3 linked regions of the Styela clava genome follow. The protein of the gene in region 1 binds, or shares a complex with, the protein of each later gene. Links are inferred from orthologs where the notes say so. Each region holds a gene or a part of one and is shown in the gene's direction. Other genes may lie near its edges. The genes, in order: trafficking protein particle complex subunit 8-like, trafficking protein particle complex subunit 12-like and trafficking protein particle complex subunit 9-like.

Evidence for each region.
Region 2: trafficking protein particle complex subunit 8-like (region 1) and trafficking protein particle complex subunit 12-like share a complex: the UniProt entries of both Homo sapiens proteins name them as parts of the multisubunit TRAPP (transport protein particle) complex. The link is inferred for Styela clava from reciprocal best matches to the Homo sapiens genes TRAPPC8 and TRAPPC12.
Region 3: trafficking protein particle complex subunit 8-like (region 1) and trafficking protein particle complex subunit 9-like share a complex: the UniProt entries of both Homo sapiens proteins name them as parts of the multisubunit TRAPP (transport protein particle) complex. The link is inferred for Styela clava from reciprocal best matches to the Homo sapiens genes TRAPPC8 and TRAPPC9.

What each region holds. Positions count from the first base shown.
Region 1 is NC_135261.1:17,900,407-17,907,032, forward strand, and holds the start of trafficking protein particle complex subunit 8-like, read left to right. Parts: upstream 1-2,029; 5' UTR 2,030-2,137; coding exon 2,138-5,878; 3' UTR 5,879-6,626. UniProt on the Homo sapiens protein: Plays a role in endoplasmic reticulum to Golgi apparatus trafficking at a very early stage. Maintains together with TBC1D14 the cycling pool of ATG9 required for initiation of autophagy. Involved in collagen secretion.
Region 2 is NC_135264.1:11,783,423-11,790,048, forward strand, and holds the start of trafficking protein particle complex subunit 12-like, read left to right. Parts: upstream 1-2,346; 5' UTR 2,347-2,370; coding exon 2,371-3,265; intron 3,266-3,657; coding exon 3,658-3,831; intron 3,832-4,297; coding exon 4,298-4,413; intron 4,414-4,533; coding exon 4,534-4,647; intron 4,648-4,916; coding exon 4,917-5,046; intron 5,047-5,330; coding exon 5,331-5,452; intron 5,453-5,866; coding exon 5,867-5,990; intron 5,991-6,576; coding exon 6,577-6,626. Other genes in the region: serine/arginine-rich splicing factor 3-like, read left to right, coding at 762-1,316. UniProt on the Homo sapiens protein: Component of the TRAPP complex, which is involved in endoplasmic reticulum to Golgi apparatus trafficking at a very early stage.
Region 3 is NC_135261.1:13,761,902-13,768,527, reverse strand, and holds the start of trafficking protein particle complex subunit 9-like, read left to right. Parts: upstream 1-2,459; 5' UTR 2,460-3,723; coding exon 3,724-6,626. UniProt on the Homo sapiens protein: Functions as an activator of NF-kappa-B through increased phosphorylation of the IKK complex. May function in neuronal cells differentiation. May play a role in vesicular transport from endoplasmic reticulum to Golgi.

The sequences.
Region 1 (6,626 bases):
ATTCAGGTTCAGAATTCAGATTGTGACTTGTGATTGCAGGATCAGGGTTGCCAGACCCCAGCGATCAAAAAAAGCCAAATCAAGACATAAAAAAGCCAACAATTTTACTAAGTACAAAAGCCCCATGATTTGTCAGATTTTAAGCCCTTGGCAACGTACCGTACTGATGATGATGTAGAGCCATCAGTTCATTCAGTGAGGCACACAAATAGAAAGTAAAGTTCCTATAGAACTGTAGAAAGTAAAATGAATATCAAGCGGACAGCATTATTTTACCATTCAATATATACAATACAGGGTGCTGCTTCAGTCTGTCAGAATGTAATATAAGTTACCTACATGTTTCTACTTAAACTTGTGATATACCTTAAAAAATTCTCCCGTTATCTTACTTTACTATTGAAAATATTTTCATTTTTAAAATTTATAAACCATCAATTTTATTAAAAAATTATCTAACCCCTTGCCGCTCACAGGTCTGCAGGTGGACCACTTATATCTAATTCAGTAATTTTAGCGTCGTTAATCACATCGTTACTGCAATTGCAGAATTAAACTAAAGCTCACATAAACCATATCAGGCATAATGAAAATTAAGTTAATACAACTATTTTTTCGGAAACAGAACGTAAAACAGACAAATAACTTGTAAAACTATAAAAAGGAGGAAATGTTTACAACCCTGCTTGAACATCTGTCTGAGCAGCTGCAGAAACTGCGATCATTTCTTATTGGGTATGTTTAAGAGTTGATGTAACAAACAAGGAAATCGATGCCCCAGGAAATCCTAATGTTAAGTAGCTAAGTACAGGTAATAGGGTATTGTTCAGTTGTTACACACTAAATATTGTATTTCATATGATTTTAATAATAGACACTAGAATACGAGGTGTGGCTAAAAAGAAACGAGACTGACGTCACAGATTGCGCAACACGATTAACCATTGGTAATCAACACTTTTACAGTGTGGTGTAATATGTGTTCTTTGTTCAACAGCTTTTTTGACACAATATCGCAATTATTTTTGCTCTTTAGGAGCCATAGGTGAATGTGATTAATTGCTTGTTGAAAAAAAAATTGCCGTGCGAGATCTGATTGAGTTTTTTGGCGATAGGGGGTTCAATTGCAGAATGACGATTGAGCAATGAATTAACATTAAATTTTGTGTCAAACTTGGAAAAATGCATGTCAACTGGGCAACATTTAATCGTTGAGCTTTCTGCTCCTCAGTCAACAGCCTTGGCACCATTTTGGCACTCACCTTTCACAAGCCAAAAGTGTCAACCAAACTGGTGCGAACCGTTTTTTTTTGTCTTTTCCAACTTCGCAATGACGCGAATTGTTGAGCGACGGTCGCTGCGAATCAACTGCCTTTCACAACTGAACTCACAACTGATACCTTTTCGATGTTGGTATCAGTTGTGGAAGTGCAAGGCCTTCCTGACTTCGAATCATCCTCCACATCCTCCCTGCATCCCACAAATCGCTTGTGCCATTCAAAAACTCTTGTTCTGGACATGGAAGAATCTCCATAAACATCACACAATTTCTTCAAAGTCGCAGTCGCCGTTTTTCCAAGTTTGACACAAAATTTAATGTTAATTCATTGCTCAATCGTCATTCTGCAATTGAACCCCCTATCGCCAAAAAACTCAATCAGATCTCGCACGGCAATTTTTTTTTCAACAAGCAATTAATCACATTCACCTATGGCTCCTAAAGAGCAAAAATAATTGCGATATTGTGTCAAAAAAGCTGTTGAACAAAGAACACATATTACACCACACTGTAAAAGTGTTGATTACCAATGGTTAATCGTGTTGCGCAATCTGTGACGTCAGTCTCGTTTCTTTTTAGCCACACCTCGTAGACTTGAAAAAAGCCAAACGGAAATTCTGAGGCCAAACGCGTTTGAAAAAAGCCAAAAATGGCAAATTTGGCGTTAAAAAAGCCAATATGGCAACCCTGTGCAGTATCGTGACTTAGTTTATATAGACTTATACTTATATATCTACAATTTTCGCCAGATTACGCCAATCCTTTTCCTGTTTTCACTGTTCCAACTTTTCCTGTATTCACGGAATATTATATTTGACATGCTTGCTTTATATTTTACTTATAGTCATAAATTATAGAATGGCTGAAAGCTTGAAAAGTACTCATGATTTTATAAAAAGTGCATTTTCAATTCGAGTTGGTGTCCTTTCCAGCCAAGATGCTGAATTTGTCAGCCAGAAGAATAATCTGTCATTTTCTGAACTGATTCAACCATTCTGTACGTTAACAAATGAAGCGAAAATTCAAGGAATTGGTGCTCAAGTATACCGAGCTTATAATGTCCATGTACGCGTGTCAGACATTCGACAAAAATATGCTAGTATCGATAAAAATATTATACGTCAAATGATAGCGGATTTGGTTTCAAAATCAGGTTCCAGTGATAATATACAAACCATATCTGTTCCATGTAAGGAATATGACTTGTCTGTGAATCGTTCATGTCCGTGGATGGATACTTACAGAGATATGATGGTTAAATTCGGACCTCCGCAAGATCATGAGTTTTTGAATCATCATATTGCTTGTATGTTAGTCGTATCATCACTTCATCCAAACCCAATGCAAGAATTTGCGAATCTGAGCCAACTTCAAAATCATATCCAACATGGTGAAAAAAATAACGATTCTTTGAGATGGATGACGCCAAATACATTAAAATATTTTGTTCTTCTTCATGATGCGCAACAAAGCGATGATAGTAAAGCGAAGGAAGTTTTTGCAACATTGCAAGCAACATATGGAACAAAAGTTTGTCATTTTTTATGTATAAACTCCAGGAATGTATCGAACTCCGAGGGTGCGCAAAATTTGCCTGATCCATGGCATCAGTTTATGAATTCTTCAACGTCTTCTCTGAAAAATAATGTAACTGATGTTGCTTATTCTAAAATATCCACAGTGAACGGAACCAATTCTGAAGAAAATCAACCATGGTTCAATGATATCATAAAAAATTCGAAAACGTCTGTCGAAAAAGGGTTTGGATGTTGTCTTACTATGGCTGATCATGATGGTCTGCAATCCTTCATGCATGATTTTATAGTTTCTGCACTTATACCTCATATGGAAAAAACAATAAAAAATATCAACGACCAGCTGTCAGCAAGAAAAGCGTTACATAAATCATTGTTTCGTGCGACAAGAACTTTATTTGGATCTAGTAAATCACCATCTAGTGTTGCTTCCACATCAGGTTATAGTCATGATGCGAATGAATTGCTTTTGAGAAAGATCGCAGATTTGTGTTTTCTGTCACAGATGTACGACCAAGCTTTTTACTTTTATCATAATGCAAAGAAGGATTACACGAACGACCAAGCTTGGTTGTACGCTGCTGGTGCATCTGAGATGGCTGCCACATCCAATTTCATGCAACGCAACACTCAGAAAACTTATCCTTCTCACTACATGGAATCTGCGATAACGATGTACATTGATGTATGTAAAAATGACTACCTTGCCCTTAGATGCTCACTGATACATGCTGAATGTTTACAGTTTCTAGGACAGTTCAATGAAGCAGCATTTTATTTGATAAAAGTCACAAATGAAACAGATGATCTGAGGAGTGCATTACTTTTGGAGCAAGCTGCACATTCTTATCTCAAAATGAAAGAACCGCAGCCTAAAAAGTTTGCATTTCACTTGATCTTAGCAGGTCACCGATTTAGCAAATGTGCCCAAAGAGCACATGCACTGCGTAGCTATAACCTTGCCCTCCAAGTATATCTGGGCCAAGGATGGAGTCTAGCTGAAGATCATATTAATTTTGCCATGGCAAGACAGTCTTTTAACATGAAACATTTATTGGATTCATCGAATTCATTTCGCAGTCTTCTTGTTCAGGAATCTTCTCAACCTTCATCCCAGCAAGCTGCATTTTTTCATGAATTTATTCATATATTTCAACAATGTGAACAGTTAAATGATGCGAAAGTGGAAAATGCAATGTTAGGTTTACCAAAATTACTTGAATCGGAAACGAAAGTTTGTCTCGATCAGAGCGATAATGACTTTACACCGGAATTTAATACCAAGATGTCTAAATTGGTAAATTTACTTTTGGATTCGGAACCTTTACTGCCTGGTACTGTTGTCAGCGGAATGAAATGCTTCTGTAAATCAACTTCTAATGTTAAAAGTCCACAGTTGGCTGTGGGGGAAGTTGTTAATATCGAAGTGACATTTCAAAACTACCTGGATATTCCGATTTGCATGTCGGATATTACAATAAAATGGGATTTCAAGCTGCCTGAAAAAGAAAATTCACAGCTTATTGAAGGTGACATATTTCAATGTAGTTCTGTGCCTATTCTGACCATTCCTCCACTGACTAAGAAAACAGCCCTTTTTACTGCTAAACCTCTTAAACCAGGAGTGCTGACAGCATTGGGGACATCTTATAAATTAGGATTGTCTTCAAGTGATAGTTCAGAAGACACTGAACATGATACTAGCTATTCTGTGAAAGACTATCAACCGTTTAATATTCTTGGTCGGAGATTGAATAAAACGAAAGATGAAAGATGTGGTGTTATGTACGGTACTGATCAAAGATTGAATTTTCATGTTCTCCCTGTTTTGCCAAAAATGTCCGCAACATTTGATAATTTTCCAACCACAATGGTGTGCAATGAAGTTGTCAATACAACAATAAGGCTACAGAATACGGGCAATGTTCAACTTGATATCGTCAAGATACTTGCGAATGACAAAGTTCAGTTTACCATATGCGGTACAAATGGTCACAAGTTTATTTTACCCAATGTTATTACAACCGATTCAAAATCTAAGAAGATTAAATTTACTAATGTGTTGTCAGAGCCTTTATTACCAGGAAAATCTGTGAAAATGGACGTTTGCATTAAAGCACCTGCAACTAGTGGAATTCATCAAGCAGATGCTTTAGTGTACTGTAAATCAAATTGTATTGTTGATGGACCATCGGGTCGTACTTTCTTCATTAGAAATCATATTGAATGTACAGAAGGTGTTGATATTCTGGCTGAATTAATGACTCCTGTGAACCAAGAAAATTTTATAATATCTTTACGGGTACGAAATGCTTCAACGAAAGATTCATGGATGCTTTTTATTGAGGATGTAACATGCTCAAATTCAAGCTGTGTTGTAGAAATAGTGGGTGATAAAAAGCTACCAGCTTTATCAGTAAACAACCATCTATATATGTACCTCAATCTGGCAAAGAAGTTTGATGTTGATTCTGAGAAGCGAGATTTGTACGAGCCCCCTGAAATCATCATTCATTGGAAAGGTGGTTATAATGATGCGTTTATGTACGGCCAACACCAATTGGATTTAAAAGATCTTTTTGAAGGTCTAGGTACATTCTCAACCCCTGAAACTATGCCTGTTAAAATTTCTGATAACATGCCCAAATCAGCAGAGGAATTTTCTCTTCAAACTTTACATCGATTAGTAACATGGAGACTCAGGTATAATTCTACAATAAAACATGATTTTACTGCGAACAGTCTATGTCATACTGATATGACATTAATGGTGTATAATCTCAGCAATTTGAAGCTGCATGTAACCGTCAGTTTGCCGAATGTGGAGGACAATTTTGGAAAACGTCAATCTCATACGGACTTTGCATGGGTTGGTGCTACCGAAGCAAAGAGACTTCTCGCTCCTCACAGTGAAATCAAAGTAAATTTGAAGGCTTGTTTTGCGCGTAGGGGTGTATTTAACGTCAGTGGTGTGAGCGTGACAGCTATTCCGATGCACCTTATGGGAACGACACCTCAAATTCCTCAAAAACCACCTTGTGGATATTTCATAAATATTGAATAGTTGAAAAATTTTAGCAAAACGTTAGGTAAAGTGCAATATACATGTATTCACAGAATTGTCATCTCACAGTTGTTCAAAACGCCGTTTTTGTTATTATATTGAGCCTACTATTAGTTATATATTAATATTGAGCAAGTCCAATGATCAGGATAAAATGTTCAAATCCAATAATCTTGTAAGAGGTATATTCTTTGTTATCAAAACCAATAAGATGGAAAGTTCACACTTCAAGCATACTGAGTAATTTTATTGAAAATTGCATTTATGTACCCTTTCTTGTGAATAGCGAATCTGAATTCTGACTTACCAAATTATTTTAATATTTTCTGCACCATGGTCTGTGTGATTGCATTTATCAATACAAAATGATTTGATTTTAGTTCCCTCATATAAACGAAAATCAAAGTTGCTACTAGGAATTTAATGTTTCCATGAAATTCAGATATTTATAATCCGAATCTGATTTTGTTCGTCAAAATTCCCTCTTTTTGCCAATATTACATGCTGAAAAGGTACCACCCTTGAAATGAAGCATCAACTTTTGTTCCCTCATTCATAGATACGATGATTAAACTTACGCTTGGAATATATATTTATTATTATTAATAGTAATAGTTGTTTTAGCTCTATTTCACATTAGTATCTATTATAATATTAATATGATTGCTTTATTTGATTTCATGCGCAATGAGAAGATGTTGCCTGAAATGCATTGCTTTATCATGTAATCAAAATTTATTTCATAAGT
Region 2 (6,626 bases), on another chromosome or scaffold:
CATTGGGTCCCAATTTGGCGAAAGGACGGCGACATTGGGTAGTTGAGTTATTGCCCAAAATAACGTGATGGAGGCCTCTTGCGTTTACCTTTCATCCGTCCGCTCAATATATATATTGAAACGAAATATATTACAGTAGTTAACATCCTTATACGGCCAGTGCCTTTATTGGGACAATTGAAAATCCAAGTCAGAGACTTATCCAGTTTACAATTCTGCTATTGTAGTCTGATCGGTCTGATGTAAATGACTGTTCACAGGATTGATGCCTCGCCCCATGATGGCGCCATTTATGACGAAAGTTTCGCCGCATCAGCGTTGAAAAATATATTACGTTATATGAATGTGAGTTTCAAAATCTGGATTACAAAAAGTATCACGTTCAGACGTTTGAAGTAATGCGCGTTTAGTATTGCCTGGGAACAGTCAGTTTGTTATGTTAGAATTTTCAGCACTTTTTTCTCGGACCGGACGAGAGGCCGCCGTGGTTTGCCATCTATTTTATACCGTATTGTGTATACATAATATATTCCCTTTTATTTTAAAAAAGCTTTCATTTTTCTAAAGACGATCTGTATTACTGCAGTACTGTGATACCAGCCAAAGCTGAAAAATATTCCTTTGTGCCTTTTAAGCATAGCTTAAAAGTTGTTCGTTCTTCTGAGTATTATTCATGCAGAACTTTACATTATCAGTTATATGACCAATTAGTATTTGTAAGTTACTAATTTAACTAGTTCAACTTTATTAAAGTCTTTATTATGTCATATAAGGACAGAAGACCGAGTGCTCCACTCGATTGCAAAGTGTACGTTGGAAATCTTGGAGATGGAGCTTCACGAAGTGAATTGGAAATTGAATTCGGACATTTTGGAAGATTAGTAAGTGTATGGGTTGCCAGAAAACCACCAGGCTTCGCGTACGTTGAATTTGAAGACCCAAGAGATGCTAAAGACGCTGTCAGAAGTTTAGATGGAACAACGCTTTGTGGACGTCGAGCGAAAGTTGAACTTTCACATGGGCAAAAAAGAAATAGAAATTTTCGACCCAGTTACAGTGATCGACCACCGAGACGTGACATGTCAGAAGTCCGATGCTATACATGTAATCAAACTGGACATATCGCTAGGAACTGTCGGGAAGGTGGCAAATCACGTTCTCGATCTCCAAGAAGAAGATACTCCCGCTCCAGGTCTCATTCTCCGTCTCGTTCCCGAAGTCCGTCTCCGAAATATTCACGTTCTCGATCTCGAAGCAGAACGCCTGAAGATAAACGCCAGAGTCGTTCTCGTTCACGCAGCAGATCTCGAAGCTGAATATTTAAACAAAAAAACACAAATGACGCCATTAATTCGAAGAAGGAACCAAACAACGTCAAATATAAATCGCAGAGTTTAACTTTGCGAAGTTTGCAGATGTTGGATAGCTCAATATGGATTGGAGATTGTTATGACTTATTGGACTGTATATATACTGTCTTTTTGTTAATGATTTGCTATGTACAAATATTTTCGTACTTGAATTATTGTGGAATTTGACGGCCAATATTAAGTATCTAATTCTTGGTTTCAAAGGTTTTTTTTCGTACTGCGCCATAATTTTAGAGATGTATCTAACCCAACGACTGTAGCTTTAATGTTTGAGCGAGATCACAATCATTCATCGATGAAATGCTGTATGAAAATTTAAGGAAAGACTTAATTGTATATTTCTAAGTATACCGTGCCACAATTATCTTGAAGAGTTCAGCAATTTAATTTCTTTTGCGTCATTTTGAATTTAGAAAATTCAATGCAGAATTTGCTGTCAACCATTCGAATTAGTGAATGGCTACTATTCGTCTCTTTCTCTCTTTCATTTGGCATAGCTTGTTGTCCAATATGTTACTGTCATTGGCTTGTTTTTAAAATAGGATAACATGAAAAATTACAAAACTAAAATGGATGAGGTCACTTTTCATAGGGTATGCGCTATGATAATTGTCATCAGGGATGTCCAAATTTGGATTTGACTGGTTATCTATCAAAACAATGCTTATCTTACAGTCTTATCTATTCTACATTACCAAATTTAGTTTCTATCAATTTACAGTGCTTTTTATCAATTTTTTTGCAGTACGTTTTCCAGCTCATTATATATCAATAGCCTACTCGAAAATATAAATGTAGAATGTATTTGAAACATTGAACTATTCAATTTTGGACATGCTAGCTTATTATTTCTATAAATACACTTTCTGGATTCCCATTGCGTAATGTCCGATAAGCTTTGAATACATCTGATAACTGACTTTTCATGTAATATTAACACTGACTTCTTACTGCCGTGATTTTAGAAGATATATAAATTGTCTAGATATAGTTGTGAGGTATGGCTGATGGAGGTGGCGACGTCCAAAACAACCAATTACCGAATGAACCCATCCCGGTTTGTACCCTTTTCAGTGATGGGTCAATCGACACAACATTATCTCAGAAAGAATTGAAAAAAGATTTTTCTGGCGTGTCCAATTCACAAAACGTGGTTCAAGTTAAAGAAAATGAATCAAAAGAGCCTGAGTTGTGTGATGTGTTTGGAAGTGGCAATTCGATTCCTACATCATCTGGTGATGATATATTTTCGAAAATTTCAGAAGACGCAAAAGCGGATGAAGCCGCTCACGATCATTCATTTACATCTGAGAGCATAGATGATAGCAGTATTTCAACCCCAATGACAGAATCCATAAAATTAACCCCTTCAATGGAAACGCTGCGATTGAATCGCTCAGTCGATTCATTCATTGTCGAAGAATTAATAGAATCTGATGAAATTCCTGAAAACCCAGGTAAAATGGCTCAGGATGTATTATTAAATGAATCACAGCCAGTGCCTTCGGCAGGAATACCATCGTTTTCAATATCGCCAGATGATATGGTGAACACAGAATCTGCTATCTCTGATTTACCAAACGATATTGAAGTGGATGATATCATTGAAGACGCTTCAACGGAAATTGAGAAACTATCATTAGAAGATCCAAATGTAAAACAACTTTCAGAAAATGAAAACACCTCGATACAAGAATCTAAAATGACTTATGAAGAATCGAAAACTACCGAAATCAACGAGACTGAAGAAGTATCTACGCAACAAACGGCTACTGAAACCGAAATTCAACCTGAAATTCCAACTACTGGTTTATTATTCACCTCTGTTCAAGATAAGCAACAAACTTTGTTTCCAAGTCCAGTGTCTGAACGACATGGTATAGAAATAGAGGAAGGTAAGTAAAGGGTTAATATCTGCTTGTATTTGCATTCTTATTATATGTTAATAAAGTACTTTTCAGCTTTTGGGCTCAGATCTAAATAATTTACTCAATCTGAAGTGACCGCTGATAATTAATATATTTTGCAATAGCTGGCAAAATGTTTTTACCATTTGCTAGTGGTTTTTCTCCTTGATGAGAATAAGATATTTGTTCAAAAACTTCTCTTAAAATCTTATTTTCAAATGGTATGCCAAGTGCTTTAATAAATTCTACGTTTTATTCTAATTGTAAATATCAATTATGAACTAACATTGCTTACATATGCAAAAGTTTGTCTTATATTTGATCGTCTGTATCAAAAATTATGTTGTAACAATTGCGTATACTTTCCCAATTTTCCACAGATGACCCGTTTGCTGCCGCTTTGAGTAACAGTGTTCTTGATCGAAGACGTGATGCCTGGCTACCTTGTGAAGACACTAGAGCCATATTGACCGCTGCAATTGTGAACCATAAATCTCCTGATTTAGAAATGGAGAAGATTACTAGACCAGGATTATCTACCAGTGAATTGTTAGGTTTGTATTATTGGTATGATTTGGAGTTTTTCATTGAGGTTTGAATTTCTAAAATGATTTTCCGTCCCTTGAAAATGATAAATTGGAACTTTTTCGGCATTTGGCTTTTCTCTTAATTTGCCCTAACCCTGTGGGTTTGCAGGTTCGTATCATGTGGAGGATAGTCATATACTATCGATTTGCTGGACGTCATTGCTGTCAAAAGGTGGTTCACATAATAACCATTGGTCAGTTACAGCTTCATGCATGTGAAACAACTGATCAACATTTCGCATACCAAGATTGGTAACTGAATGAGGGGCCCATGATTCATAACATGAATACACCTTACTGTTGGCTTTTCCAGAATAAATATAAATATGAAAAATTTTAAATTACCGTAGATTGGTATTCTTGTTTTGTGCCTATTTTCTAACCTCACAAAAATTTTTGTGTGATATAAAATAACAGTTCCCTTTTTCTGTAGAGGATCCAGTCAAAGAGCTTGTCGTAAGAATGACGGGGTCAGAGAATGTTGTGAAACGTGGCAATCTGACAATGGACGATGTCACTCTCAATAAAGATGGAATCAAAAAACTGATGGTACATTTTCAATCATAGCACAAGAATGGAATTTTATGATTTTAACCAAATTTTTAATTTGATACATTTCAAAATCAGGCGCAGAATATAATGAAGTCAGTTTTTTTTTTCATTTTACAGGAATCTGGCAATCTACGATCTGCTGCAAACCTGTGTGCTAAACTATTAACAACTCATGGTCAAGGATTTGGTCAAGTTACACGAATGACACTCAATACATCAGAAACATTACAGGTTTGATTTTACTTAGTTGCAGCCTGTTGGTAGAAAATTAATAAGTCAATAAGCTGTCAATGATACTGATTTTTATTGTGGGCATGATATGGTATAAAGTAGAGCTAATGAAAGCAATACTCAAATGGAAAGCTAAAAATATTATACCGAATAATAAAAACGGAGTGAGTATTCATGCAAGTCAAAACTATTGGCAAATTTAATATTGCATTATTTCTTTACTAGCTAATTTTGAATATGTTTATTAATTTGTGTTGTTTTGTTTGTAGTTGTGGTACACTCGCATATATATCCTCACAAAATTAAAACTATATGACATGGCTACAAGTGAAATTTCTACTTTCAAAAATCTCGACAATGCAGACTTGTACTATGAATTTTATCCTGATGTCTATCCAGGTGAGAATTATTTTTATTCATATATGATCATTTAATTATGCCTTTAACTTAACGTAGTGCTCAAGATGGAGGGTAGTGCCCAAAAAAAACAGGGCATCGCATCCTTCAAAGTGTTAGTAGTCAACATACTGATTACCCTGCATTGGTTTGACTTCTATGTGGTTGATTATATTATTATGAACAAATTAGCTCTTCTCGTGCCTAGGCTATTGGAGTGGCTGTGGTCTTCTGCAGTATTCTTCTAGCTTATACTGATTTCCATAAAATTTTCTTTCCATTTTTAGGTCGTCGAGGATCCATGGTTCCATTTTCATTTCGACTTCTCCATGCTGAGTTCCCACGTCATGTCGACAGAGCTCAATTATCATTGGCTCGTCTGCACAGAATATTAAATGTTTGTGATAAGGTAAGAAGTTTATTTGATAAACAGAAATGTATTTTTACAAAATTTTGCACAAAAATATGTGATATAATGACAAACTTCAATATGTCAAAAAATAATCTTTTAATGCATTCGAATCTGAGAATCTCCCACTGTTTAAACATTAGCACCAGAAATTTACTAAACGAATCGAATATTCTAATCTATAGAAATTCATCATTTCCAATATTTCAAACTCTGAATTGAATTTAATCCATGAAAACTGTAAAAATAGAAAACAAATCAAAACACTGTTTATCTGCATTGATTTTGACTTGTATGTATCCTGTGAACATGGCCCAATTTAGGTATTCCATTTTCGAATATTATCACGAATGTTTTCAGAATTATCCTAATTTGCCATCTGCCTCATATTATCATTTTTATTGTCATACACAGATATTACAAAATTTAAACGATGGAAAGACAGAAGTTGGGGAAATGACCGTTCTGAATTCCAATGATGTCGAAGCTTCCATCAAACTTTGGAATGAAAGAAAAGTCAGAACTTTGTTCTCTATTGGTAAGAATGGATGAAATTAATTTAGGTAAAATATAGCTTCCTTTTGATACATATTTATTATTAGATATTAAATTGTTATTCGGTGTGAATTCAGAGTTTTATACACTGTATATATAGTCATTTTCATTCTTGCTACAGCATTCCCGCATGAAGGCATTGCTTTTCAATGGCTCTTTTTTATGAAATTATATATGTTTGGTACAAGGCTTAAGAAGGTATTTTGAAATGTTGTAGTATACTTATACATACCTAAATGCAGCAGTTTTTAGGCGGGGGGGGGGGGGGGGGGGGGGATATGACTTGCATAGGGTGTAGATTTTGCAGGTAGGTAGGTTCATAGCCAAATGTAGCTGTTGGCCACATAGGAGACTGTAAAGTAATCTTGTGTGCAACTGATGTTTTTATGCTCCCTTCGCAAAAAGGTTGTATCATCTTTTTTTCATAAATTACTTACTTTTTTCACATTTCACTTTTAAAAATTTGCCAAAGTGTAAAGGGGAAAATAAAGGTTGAGAATCTCTAGGATAATGTTATGTTGATGGTACTTTTTAAAATAAATGATGAAATTTTACTATACTGTATTTAGGTAATACGTTGATGCAATTGAAAGATTATACTCTTGCAGTTGAAGTTTAT
Region 3 (6,626 bases), about 4.1 Mb from region 1:
GTGTGATACATTTGGTACCATGAATACCATTTGCAAATTAGCTTGGATTACACCCCTTTCAAATAAAAGTTTAGACTCTTAAGTCATATCTCATAATATTCTTTGAACAAAAGGTTGCGGCTAGCCGGCTACCCATCAGAATTTCCTTCCAGATCACAAAGTCGCAATATTACGCCTCGGTAAGTTTCATTGGCAACTGTATCTTGTTGTAGTATCGGTGTCCAACGTTAGACTAAAACCTTCACTACCAGACCCACCGAAACATTTTTTTTTTCTTGATAGGGTCGTCTTGAAGTTGCTTTCGTTAAAGCACAATGGACACTTTATCTCCACCAATCCACAGTAATCACAAGTTACTTTGTCATTACGATAAGCATCAATAAATGGATACTGAGGATGTATTATCAAGTCACGCAAGCTGAGGTCTTGTGCCACTGTGGTCTTGTTGCAACTTATACTTTGCCATCCATCTATTCCATTGTCGCACCCATATCTGTAAGATAATGGATACAGATAGAGTTTTCATAAAATCTAACGATCAAGGAGTGTGAAATTTAAGTCCATATCCCACCACAGCCACTAGTCGTAAATGAATTTGATTCCGGGTAGCATATCTTTTTTACCAATGACAATAAAAAGACATTTTGGATCAGTTGTACAAGCACCATTAGGATAGGATTTATCTGGGGAGGAGCCAGTTATTTGTTTTCAGAAGCATGGACTTGGATGGTGGGGAATGGTCGTAACCGATCAGCGGTCATGTGAACCACCCTCGGTGGGAGTAGAGCTGCAATCCTCTCGCACATAACTATCCGCGCGTGGGATTGAAACCTGTGAAACTACCAGGGTGATCAGAGAGGCGGTGGCGAGCGTATTCCTAGATGGCGAATCAATTGAATTCTGGTTATTTTTTGCATGACCACTGGTGTTAAACTTTAGTTATCTATTCAACCTTTCACACTTAGTAATAGATTACCTGCTAGTTAGGGAAACAATACCTTATAGCAATTGATTATTAATTCCTTACTGTCTCACACAAGTCAAGTCTGCAACTGCAAGTAGGCCCACGCCTAAGCCTACTAATAACAGTAGTTTGTCATCTGCTTTCCATTGAAATGAGGGAGCTTGTGAATATTTGAAAAAATTGATAACGGCACACTATCACCACATTATCACTCACCATCAACGAAGTGCTGTCCGCAAACAGTGAAACACAAGTAATATGGCTTCTGGACTTGACACCAAGCAGTTCTGCCAATAGGCAATAGATGATATCCACATTGCGCGACGTTCCGGATCTTTTGAAATCAGTGGAATATAAATGAAGATCCATTTCGTTGTCTATACTATACGTACAGCTAACGGAACAATACGAAATAACCATTTTCAACAGCCAAACAAAACGGAAACGTATAATCCGACTTGCAACTGACAGGAGCCAAATGGACGTGTTTGTTTTATTGCCGTTCAGTAACAAAGTCACGTGACCCGTGCAAGTCCTCTATATGTTAAATGTACATTTTTCAGTCGCTCAATATCACTGCGGACCCCCTATGTAGTCGTCGCGGACCCCAGTTTGGGAAAACCTGCTCTAGGTTGACGTAACTGAAGTATTCAGTGATAAGGATAAGATAGGATATACATATTTATCCCGGGGGAGAGGAAAGCCGATAAGACGACTTATCCCTATGGCGAACCACGGCCTCTCGTCCGGTTACCATTCCAAGTCGGGTATGGGATTAGTTTTACTGTATTGTTTGTTTTCGGAAGCATGGAATTGATGGTGGAGGAAGCCGTAACCGACCAGCGGTTACGTGAACCACCCAATGACGGCGAGGAGTCCATCCTCTCGCATCTAACCATCCCTGCATGGGATTCAAACCTGCGAACCCACGCAGAGTAATTAGAGGTGCGGTGGCGAGCGTATTCCTAACGCTTAGCCCGTTGAGCCACACCGCCGCGCCTGATGAGGAAATAAAATTAATAGCCTTCTAACGACAGCATAAACTTTCCAATTATCAATTGGCCTGTAGTTGAAGATATTAACAAGAACATAATTGAAAAAACAAAAGCATATGTACATTTCGTGTCCAAAAATAAACTAATATAATCCCGGTTACCGAAATCTTGCAAAAAAAAATCAATGTTCGTGACGTCATCACCGAGTGGATCCGAGTTGGACTCCGACTCCGACCAATGTGACGTCATTACCGATTGTATCCGAGTTGGACTCACCTCCGACCAAGAAATAGCAAAGTTCAGCAGTTGCAGAGTTCTGGAGTTAGTACCGGTACCGGTATAGTTTGGAGACATTTTTACGTTACTGCTGTGCTGTGGTGTCGTAGTGGCGTAATTTCTGAATGCCATAGGTCAAGTGGGGGTTAGGAATAACATATGCAAAAATGGTTGCACAACGCCGAATAGCGAATATAATGTAACTTACGGCTTTAATTTATACCGGTACCGGTACCAGTACCGGTATTGCCTTTGCAGCTTTGGGTCTCATGTAGTTTCGTACCTAACATACTTCTAGTGGGCGTAGCATGACACTTTTTGTCTTGTGAAGGAAACACCGTAACTGCTTAAATACCCCCAAACACAAATGTGGTGGGAAAATGACTGCTGTAAGGCGCGGCGGTGTGGCTCAACGGGCTAAGCGTTAGAAATACGCTCGCCACCGCACCTTTACTTACTCTGCGTGGATTCGCAGGTTCGAATCCCATTCAGGGATGGTTATGTGCGAGAGGATTGCTGGACTCCTCGCCGTCGTTGGGTGGTTCACGTAACCGCTGGTTCGGTTACGGCTTCCTCCACCACCAAGTCCATGCTTCCGAAAACAAACAATATAACTAATCCCATACCCGACTTGGAATGGTAACCGGACGAGAGGCTGTGGTTCGCCATATGGATAAGCCGTCTTATCGGCTTTCCTCTCCCCCGGGATAAATATGTAAATCTTATCTAAGTGCTTCAATAACGTCAAACAAAAATGTGATTTGAAAATACAACCCAAATTTTCATTTTTTTCTAAAAATAAAAGTCTGGCTTGCACGAATACCGTATGCTTACCGCATGGCATGGGACAAAGGGAGGCGGACAACTCAACTCACAAGACAACAGATGAGTCGTCCATCTTTTTGCATTTTCGACGGCGACACTTTAAGACAATACGGGTGTAATTTCGACCTTTTACATTAAAATCTTGAATCACATTTTTTTGTAACTAACAGTTGAGGTTGCGTTAAACTAACTACCTTTCCTTGCTCCTTATGCCTTTGCGCAGGTGGATCCGTATGCGTATTACGCAAGGATGCTGTAGCAAGAGAACATTACATTTCATTGTCACATTTTTTGGGGGTGTAATTTGAGCAGTTACACTGTTACAGCGTTCATTTCATATTACATTTTTGTAAGGCGATATTTAAATATGTAAATCTTATCCTACTGTCATAAGCAGTTACGGCGTTTAGCCTACTTTAGTACCAGTGTATTTATATATCGTACTGTCTGACTTTATATAATGAATATGAGAACTGCATTTTTTTTGACTAATATATACATACAGACATACCGTACGGTACCGGTGTTTTTTGAAACTGTGTACAAGTGTCATAGGTCGAAATATTGCTGTATTGCAGCGACTTTGTAATTTCATTTTTCAATGACAGAATGATATGAAGTACTGAATATATTCTGTATAATTTATTACTACAAAACAAGAAGATGAGCGTTGCTAATTATATGACATCTGCACTGGATCATTCGCAAATCCTCATTGGTGTCAAATATGCTGCAAACATAAACACAGCATCAGTACAGTTTGTCTTGAAGAAATTGGAACTTTACAAATCTCTTGTGATAAATGATGCTGGGTACACAATTAACATTCGATTTGATGATAATGCATCCCCACAAAATAGCCATTGGGGTCCATTACAGGCACATAGACAAGTGTGTGGAATTGTATTTATTGGAGAAGCTATTAATCCAATGGAAGCAGCTTTAATCCTGGATAAATTTAATAAACTGAAAGAGGAGTACAGTCCAGGATTATTGCATTCTAGGTGTATTATCTTTGGAATAGACACAACCATTCGTCCCCACAGTCAAGATGTTTTTCAATTTTCATCTCACAATGCATGGAAATCTGTGGATTATGATATCAAACAGTTTGTCACAGCAATTTTTTATGAGCTGGAATCAAAACGTTTGCGAATGGCTCAAGAAAGAAGTGGAAAACCAATGCTTATAGCCACTCCGTTTGAAAATCCAGATGAAAAAAATGAGTCTGACAGTAAAGTGATGCGCAAAAAATGTTCTGGTCGTCACTATAAGCATCTTGCTGACGTTAACTTGCTGGTGGGACAAATATCTGAAGCATTACAATGTTATCACAGTGCACTTGACATATTGATTCCAATTAATGATACAGTTTGGGTAGGAAGTGCTTTGGAAGGTTTGTGTGTGGTTTCAGCCCTGGTGCATTTTGCTAGTCTGAAAACTGAGAAATCTTCTGTGAATTTCACCCTTGACCCCCGAAATCTTTCTAAAAAGCCAATATCGTCTTTTGCAGCACCTGATGTTAAAAAGCTTTGTATTTCGTCAATGAAAGATTTAGTGGATCGATACAGAGAAGCTATTATTCATTATAGCAGATATAAAAACTTGGCTGTTATTGAAATGGAAGCTTGTATCAAAGCAACAAAAGTATTTGCTGAGGCTAAAAGCTTTTTAGAAGCTTCAGAATTCATTCAAAATGCTGTTTACATCACACTCAATGTTTCAGATACCGAAAGATTACAACGATACAGTGTGATGGCTGATTTATATAAAAGTATAGGATTTTACAGAAAATCTGCATTTTACAAACGAGTGGCTGCGATGCAATGTGTAGCACATCATATCAAAGAACCTGATTGGAAACTTTGCAACAGACTTTTATTGAACACAATATCATGTCCGACTAAACACTCTATCATCTCCCCATACCTTAAAAACAGACATGGATGGCCAAGTATTAGTCTTAGAATATTACATGAACTTGTATATTCTTTGGAAAAAATTAATAATCATAGTCTTGCACTTCGTTATTTGCTTTATTTGATTTTGAATATGTTTCCTTATTTGTCTGAAACTGATGAAAAGGCAACTTGCTCTGCATTGGAAAATTATGTCAAGAAAAATATTAGTGTACTCGATAGCACATCACCTGAACTCAACTTCTATGTTTTACCAGTCATAACTAAGATTTCTCCTTTATTTGAAGATGATGGAATGAGACCAACAAAGTCTAAAACTGAATCTGATGCTCAAAGTGTTTTTATTTACACACCAACGATTAGACAGTCACAAACACACGAGCTTAAAAAAATTTGTTTTAGATGGTGTGTAAACACAATGTTCGAGATTATAGTACATGTATTTAATCCACTTTCTCATTGCAGTATCAAGATATCAGAATTTTCGCTGATTCTTGATTCAAACAGTTCAGCTATAGATTGTCAACCACAGACTTTTAACATTGCGCCGCAATCATCCTTTGAAGTCGGGATTAAAGTAACTCCAGTAGAATTAGGTACAGTCACTATTATTGGATATGCATTTTCAATGTATGGAGTTTATGCAAAATGTTACTTCAACAAAAATGATAACATTGAAACAACTGAAGTACAGATTCAAGTTATTGGTGACTTGCCGTTACTAAAGTGCATCAAGGATGACAAATGTAAAGAAGAGGAAGGGAAGCCTTTAATTGTATATTATTTTGGTGAAAAGACAAACTTACCATTCCATCTTACCAACATTGGAAAACAACCAATTTGTGATTGGAATATTTTAATTAAAACTAAACACAACATGCAAGACATATTAATAAATGTTGATGACAATATTAAGCAAGTATCACTCCCTCCTGGGAAAACTGTTCAGATTCCTGTGCACATTGAACCAAAAACTACTGTTTTGGAAATTGAGAAGTGTCAAGAATTTTTGTGTGTGGCTACGATAAAGTATGCAGGAAATTTGGGTAAAGATATATGGTGGCGATGTACAGAAATTGAAATGGTTATAAAAACTGATGTCAGTATTGTAGTTGAAGCTATTGAAGTAAAGAGCCTAGAGTCAAAATCTTGTGATTATTGTCTTGTGTGCTTGCATCTAAAAAATACATTGCAATATGATGCAGAGATTCATTTCAAATCTTTTGATGGTGAAGGTGGTTGCAATGACAATATGATACCAATTGAGTGTGATGAGGGAAAAGTTTGTCAAGTTCAAATGCAAAAAATGGATCTACCATCAAGTGGCATTATTGATGAACTATGTATTCTTCACATTAAAAAAATGCTGGATTTGTCTTGGAAAGTAAAACACGATGGCAATGAATTTGAACATGGAGGAAACATCCATCTTCCCAGTTTACTTTCATATGAAAGCTCTTGTAAAATGATAAACTGTCCAATTGAATGCTCCCTTTTATATGGCAACGATTCAATAACAAGTTCCCTCAGTGCTTTTATTACCACAAACAGTGTAAACTATGTAACTTTTGAATTCCATAACAAATCAAACATTTGTCAGACCTTGGAGGTGTCGTTGGATGTTTTTCAAGATCAACGAAATGGATA